Alligator mississippiensis: one gene and its partner. The protein of the gene in region 1 interacts with the protein of each later gene in a pairwise test. Links are inferred from orthologs where the notes say so. Each region holds a gene or a part of one and is shown on either strand. Other genes may lie near its edges.

What was found.
Region 2: the proteins of TNFAIP3 (region 1) and ARRDC3 interact in binary tests that used the Homo sapiens proteins (3 or more experiments, as listed by UniProt). The two-hybrid records come from large-scale screens. The link is inferred for Alligator mississippiensis from reciprocal best matches to the Homo sapiens genes TNFAIP3 and ARRDC3.

Annotation. Positions count from the first base shown.
Region 1 is NC_081824.1:119,673,892-119,677,640, forward strand, and holds the start of TNFAIP3 (tumor necrosis factor alpha-induced protein 3), read left to right. Parts: upstream 1-1,319; 5' UTR 1,320-1,434; coding exon 1,435-1,728; exon of another isoform or gene 1,729-1,738; intron 1,739-3,749. UniProt on the Homo sapiens protein: Ubiquitin-editing enzyme that contains both ubiquitin ligase and deubiquitinase activities.
Region 2 is NC_081826.1:242,393,872-242,397,620, forward strand, and holds the start of ARRDC3 (arrestin domain-containing protein 3), read left to right. Parts: upstream 1-1,232; 5' UTR 1,233-1,496; coding exon 1,497-1,776; intron 1,777-3,749. UniProt on the Homo sapiens protein: Adapter protein that plays a role in regulating cell-surface expression of adrenergic receptors and probably also other G protein-coupled receptors.

The sequences.
Region 1 (3,749 bases):
AGTATAACCACACCAATAACAGCTGCTTGAGTGTGGAGACAGATTGAAACAAAAGCTGTGAATGGGTTGAAAAGATTCTGCTCTTCACAGTGAGTCTCTGCTTAAAGTAGAAACTCTATGGGTGACAGGAAGAGAGCACAGTGGTCCTGGCTCGCTCACCCACATACAGACATCCTCCAACAGCTGAGGTCAATACTATGAGCCACCTATCTCCTTGTCTCTATATGGGGACAAGCATGTGACCACACCACTCATGATGATGACTACTACTGCTACTCAGGGAGAGAAAGAGCCCCTGACAAGTGCCAGGCTAAGTGATGGATGGAGCCATGATCATGGCAAAGTGATTAGCACCTTGGGTATCAGACAACCTCATTACAACCACAGATTTGCGAATAGCCACTTCTGCAGACAAGGCAAGAATCACAGAACCATAGGGTGGGAAGGGACATCAGGGTCAAGCCTGCCAGCTGTACCACCAATTTTGTAGCAGTACAATGGTGTCACATAGGGATGTAATTTTATATAATTAGATAAGTTCAAGCCCTCACATGGACACAGCCCTATAGTGGTATAAAGATGCCTTCTGTGGGATAACGCGTTGTATGGATACAAGTACCATTACACCCGTTGAGCTTCGACGACACTGGCAGGAGGCAGAGCAGCACCATTTCAGGTCTCCGGGTGTCTAGTTAGAGCAGTACAGCTTCTCCGGCTCCATAAGACCTCTGTGCAGCAGCAGAAGCAGCTGCAGGCTTGGGACACTTTTCATTCAGAAGGCATTTTGCATTTAGCCATTAGGCCACGCATTCTGATTTAAGGGCATGCCCACGTGGCCATGCCTGGGGCTAAATACAGCAGCAGGAACCACAGCGGGCTGCTGAGCCCACGCTTGGGTTTGCCACATGGAGCTCCCTGGGCTAGCACCAGCAGGGGACACCAAAGGCGAGGAGTTTTGCATGATGGCTTGTGCTCCCCTCCTCCCCACCACCTCACTACAAAGCCCCTCCATACACACAGGCAAGGGTCTTTGAGTATCTGTGGTATCTTTTGTTAGACCAACTGACTAGTTGGGGGTGGGGGGAACAAGTGCTTAGCAAGCTTTGGCGCGCAGCCACCCTTCTTCAGGCATTGGGAGTCTGTGAAGCCTTGCCCCAGGCAGAAACCCCCCGTGGCTGCAAAGCGGAGGGGAGGGGAAGGAAAGTCTGAATGCAGCCACCCGGCCTCCCCCCGGACCCAAAACGCCCCGGGCTGACTCAAGAGGGGACAACCCCGAGGTGCAGGGAAGGAATTTCTCCCGGCAGCACCAGGTAGCAGGGCCCGGGCGCCGGCGCAGGCGCAGGGGGAAGGGCCAGTGCCGGGCGCAGGAGCAGGCGGCGCCCCCTGGCGGGCTGAGGGAGCCCCCGCCGCCGCAGCTCGGGCTGCGGTTGTCACATGTCGGAAAGTCCCCGGCCCCGGGCGTGGAAATCCCCGCGCGCGCGGGGGTTTCTGCTCAGTAAAACAGAAAGGAAAAAACAAGCGGCCCGCTCAGTCTCGCCTGCTCCCCGCCACGCAGCGCCAGCGGCAGCAGGGAGGGGGCGGCGGACGACAGCAGCGCGGCGCTCAGGCAACAGCAGCGAGCGGGGAAAGCGGCGGATTGATGGGTCCCGCGCTCCAACGCGCCGCCCGGGCCTGAGGCGGCTGGCCGAGCTCCCCGCCTGCGGCTGCGCCGAGCCGAGCCGAGGTGAGGTGAGGTGAGGTGAGGGCGCCGCTGCTCCGGGCTGGTGCGGGGGGAGGGGGCACGGGGCCGCCTTTGTCCCTGGAACGTTCATTGTGCGCGGGTTCGCGGGTCCGCGGCGCGGCTCGGACACGCACCACGGTGGACGCACGGAGAAAAACACCGGGCAGACGCAGCATGCACGGAACGGACCGGGACACGCGCAGGACGGACACCCTCAGAGGAAACGGGGCAGACACCTGGGATGGGCACAAAGGAAAAATGCGTGGCAGACACAGAATGGACAGGCAGACATACGCAGGACAGACGGAGGATGCACAGAATGGACAGGGACACACGTAGGACAGACGTACACATGAGACAGATGCCCTCAGAATAAAGAGGACGGACATCTAGGATGGACACAAAGGAAAAACGTGTGGCAGACACAGACGCACAGAATGGACAGGGACACACATGACAGAAATACGCAGGGTGGACACAAAGACGCACGGGAGAAACATGGGGCAGATGCATGATGCACAGAATGGACAGGGACACATATAGGACAGGCACAGGACGGACACCTAGGATGGACACAAGGAAAAATGTGTGGCAGACACAGGACACAGATTGGACAGGGACACATGTAGGGCAGTCATACACGTGGGACAGGCACAAGGACAGACACTGGTAGAATAAACAGGATGGACACCAGGACTGGCATGCACAGGACAGATGCCCAGAATGGACAGACAGGAAAAACATGGGACAGACACAGGGTGCACGGAATGGACAGGGCCACACACAGGAGAGAGATACACAGGACAGACTCACATGGGACAGGCACAGGACAGACCCCCCAGGATGGACACGCAGATGCATAGGAAAAATGTAGGAAAGACACAGGATGGACACAGACTGAATAAACAGAATGGACACAGGGACACACACAGGATGGACACAGACTGAATAAACAGGATGGACGCAGGGACACACACAGGGCAGCCATACACAAAACAGGACACACATAAGATGGACAGACAGGACACGCAGAATGGACACAGAGAGAATAAACAGGATGGACACACACAGAATACACAGGACATGCGGAATGGGCACTCGCACCCACACATACACATACTCCACCCAGGCCATCTGTGAGTTATGTAACTCATAACAGCTCATTGAGACACCCATTGCTCTGGGTGGTTTTTTTTTTGGTGTTTTTTTTTTAAGGTGGTTCAGAAGGCTTAGTATCCATCCCCATCCTGACAGGTATAAAAAAGGAGAGGGGCAGGGGTCATTGTACACTGGAGGTGGCTGAAAAGTGGGTGGGCTGTTACAGCATTGGCCACAGTGGGAATCAGTTTTGTGCAGATTCCCTGCTGCTTAAAGTGGGAGGGGTGCAGACACAGAGCAGGCAGAGCTCAGACTAAGATGCCTGTAGTCTGTATTAACATGACACAGAGCCTTACAACAGAGGAGTAAGATGTTCCACTCCAGGCAGCATTCACATCTCCAGAAGTGAGGAGTATCTGGGGTACTAACTACTCCCTTTATCTGCAGTAAGTTGCTCTTTGTTGGATGCAAACCCACTCTCTTGCTACCTAGCGACTAGGGATCATAATATGGCCTGCTGTGGGCCAGCCTGATGCCTGTAGACTGAAATCAGGGGTAAATTATTCTCATGTGTTGTGTGTCCTCAGCCTTGGGGAAGATAGGCTGCCTTTAGCATTTGAGAAAGGTATTTAGCCATGTTAGTCTGATGTCAGGCAGAACGCAGGGTAGATTTGCATCTTCTAGACTAAATCAGATAAGCAGCATAAGTTTTTTGTAAGCTCAAGTTCACTTCATCAGATATTGTGTAAGGACAAACATGTTTGATGATCATTCATTCTTACACAAAAGAATCCAATGTATAGACTGGCATCTGTGCCTCCTCATTAATACAGACCACATCACAGGACTGAATAGCACAGATAACAACACCCAGGTTCATTCCCTTGCACCTCTGCCAACATCATTACCATTATCTGCTTACAGTGCCCCT
Region 2 (3,749 bases), on another chromosome or scaffold:
GGAAAGAGAAACGTAGCCATAAATTGTTTAATCTGGAGAGCATGGTCAAGCAATGACCGTGTACCAATGAACATGTAGATGAACTGTGTAACAGATGCATTTGAAATATCACTGTAAAGAACATCTCTTTGGTGGTGAAGGTGTTTTGCACAGAGCTTTTAGAAAGACTATGTGCCTAATATGCTCCAGTGTCTGGTTGTTTTTTTTTTCTCTTAGAATCCATTTAGCACATCTCTTTTGAATTTATGCGGGCTATTTTGAAAGGATTTGCTTGATTCCAAATAGCAGTACTTAAAGGTATTCTTCTATCTCCCTCTAAATTGCACTAAATCTTATGGAATCAGAAAAAAAGGAGAAAACTATCTGTGAAATATATACATTCATTCCGAGCTGTTTTGGGGAGGTTTTACTTGCTTGCCTGTTTTAACACAGGTAACCCAGAAAACAAAAATGCTAACTATCTGAATAAAAATGGTAGGTGGGGTCTGTAATTGAGCTAATGAAATATAAATGGGAAGCCAGGTGCTCCTCTCCTTTTAGAAACTCTTTCTCCTGGTGAATTCAGAGGTTGGTAGGAACAGCTGACACAAATCTTCAGCAGACATAACTGAAATATGTGGATTCTCCCAGTCTCCAAAACCGGTTTGAACCGAACAAAAGAGGGTTTTCTCTGCCTTTGGTGAAGTTCATCCCACCCTCTGGCTGGGGATAAACTAGTCCTGCCAAGATCGACTTCTATTTCTGGCTCATTAAGATACTTCTGAAGAGCAAATATTTTGCCTTTTGGAATGCACCAGATTGTGCTTGAAGCAGATGAACCATCCAAAATCTCTTCTCCCGAATAAAAGGCAGATTCCTCAGTTCATTTCTCTCCCAACTCTTCAAGCCTCTTCCAGCAGCATTCAGAAGCAAATGCTTCGGGCTCGAGGCTGTGTCCTTAGTCAGCTGTAAGGGCTCTGGCATTAGACCACTCTCCTTCCTCCTTCCGCTGCATTTATAATGCTGCATTCCTGCCATTAGAAGCTTTGGGGTGCTGGCCTAGAGGGGCACGTTTGAAAGAGTTTAGGGGGGCGATCACTGCAAGAGACACACAATGGAGAGCAGACCCAGGTCCTCTTCCACAGCACGGTCGCCTTCTGTGTTACACCTCCTGTAGCAGTGAGACAGAAGGGAAGCAGCAGCCGCCCGCACATGCGCAGTGGGGTTGTTTTTCACAAAGCTGGTCTTAAAGTGAGCTGGCAGTCCGCAGCCTCCCTGTCTTTGTACAGAGACCTCAGAGCTGGGTAGTAGCTGAACAGCCACTAGTGCTGTGACTTTTCCAGCAAGCCCAATGAAGCGTTTGTAGAGCAGACACTGGTCCTGCCTGCAAGCTTTTTTGCACGGCAGAGGCTTTGAACAGTGTCAAGTGAAGATCCCATTTTATATGAGATCTTGACTTTGATTTTGGGGGTTTTTTTCTTACAGTATATTTTTATAGACTTTGTTATAAAAAAAAAATGGTGCTGGGGAAGGTGAAGAGTTTGACAATAAGCTTTGACTGTCTCAATGACAGCAACGTCCCCGTCTATTCTAGCGGGGACACAGTCTCAGGAAGGGTCAGTTTAGAAGTTACTGGGGAAATTCGAGTGAAATCTCTTAAAATTCACGCAAGAGGACATGCAAAAGTGCGCTGGACTGAATCTAGAAATGCTGGATCCAACACTGCCTATACACAGAATTACACTGAAGAAGTAGAATATTTCAACCATAAGGACATCTTAATTGGGCACGAGAGAGGTAAGTTGTTTTTTTTTTTTCATTTTAATTCGGGAGTCAAAATCCTACACAGTCATTTTTGATGCAAGCAGGCATGCACATCTTCGCATCCTCTTGGCTTGAACAGTCTTTGGAGGGGGGCTGGTTATTATATCCATTAAAAACCACAACATACAAGGATGTGAAAATGTACTACATCTCTTAGGGGCTGTAGGTTTTGATGATATGGACATTGATGGTGGGTCAGACTTTATCTGCAAAGTGCCTGCAAAACAGGACTTTCTCCAACAACCTGCCTTTAACAGAGCTTCTTGCAGAGGCACTTCCAATTTTATGATTATTTTAAGTGTGTCAGAAAAAAACTGTGCTATAGCTAGACATGAGCAGGGTTGTGTTCCGTATTGCACTGAGAACTGGGGGGCCAAGCCAGGTAGTTAATGCTTTTAAGTGACTTTTTTGTAACTTCTCATCAAATGTTGAGATGCAAGACAGAATCAGGCTTTTAGACGTCTATGGATATAACTCCTATTTTTCAAATCGATTATGCGAGGCCTTTCGAAGGATGGATAATTGTTGGCAGATAAAGGATTCCCTGTGGCTTATTTTGACATACACTCTCAGCACTCCACGTGTGGCTTCTTCTTCTCCCACCTCCCCCAGTAAGTTAATAAATCACCTGAATGTCTTTTATACGCCACATCTGTCAGAGAGGCAGGTATAAAGGTCTGCCTGCAAGCCTCCTTTGAGTCCCTGAAGTGCCCAACTGGAGCATCATGCCTAAGTTGGGGAGTTCAGGGAAGCTGCATTCATTGAAACCTGCTGTGCCAGCCACGTACAGTGCAAAATAGATTCCTATCAAATAATGGGGGGGAAAAAAGGGGGAATCAAGCCTTGGCAAGGGGGCAGCGGGTCTTCAGATGGCTAATCTATTGTTTGAATGGTGACATGGTAGAAGTATAGGGGACTCTTGGCTTGTTTTTCTGAAGTTTCCACCCTTTGTTAGAAGCGGTTCAATCCTGTTTGGGACCAGTCCTGGCGAGAGGGAGGGGGTGCGAGCTCTCCTCTCCGCAGATTGGTTACACGCGTCAGGTGGTGGCGATGACTTAATTCCTAGCACAAGAAAATAATGTTAAAACTGGTTATGTAATTTTCTTTTTTCTTCCCCCCCCCCCTTGTTCCCTTTCACTTATTCTGCATATATATAAATAAGTGCTGCAGAGACCAGTGCGGGAGCTGAGGGGGGGGGTCCCCTTTCCCCCCTTACAAAACCATCTCATTCAAGGGGAACTTAGGGGGTTGCGCTGGCAAAGGCTTTTGGAATAAATGGAAGGATTTTTTTTTTTTATTTTTTTTTTTAATGTTCACAAAATGAGCGGGTTGCGAGGCCTGAGGTAAAATGATGGGGTCCCTCCCCAGGCAGAGTTCGTGCCCTCTCCCCACCCCCTCTGCGGATGCCGGGCGGCAAGGGGCCTGTGTCCCTCCCTCCACAGCCCAGGGGATGACTGCAGGAGGCGACTCGGGGCGCCCCCCGGGACAGGGAGCGAACAAAGGGGCCGGTTGGTGGGTGGGTGGGTGCGCGGGTCGGCGGTGGCGGCCGCACCCCACACAGCCGCTGCGGCCACCGGGCAGCCCGGGTGCCCACTACTCTGCCCCACGCCGGTCACACCAGCTCAGTACCCCAGCCCCGCCCCGCGCCGCCGCCATTGGCCCGGCGCCGTTTGTTAGCCTGTTGCTAAGGCGATGCCCGCCGCTGATTGGCGCGGGGCGCAGTGGGGGCGGGGCAGGTCCCGGTTCCTGGAGTCCAGCGTGCGCCGCTGCGGGTTTGGGGGGGGGTTGGGGATCGAGAACCCCTTTCCCCCGGCAGCGGGGGCCCGATCCTCCTCGCCTTGCCCTACGGCCGGGGGCAGGATCGGGCCCGTGTGCTGTGGGGCTGGGGGGGCTGCAGCCCGGAAGCCCCGAGAGAAGCCGTGGGGAGGTGGCGGGTGCCGCCCCTC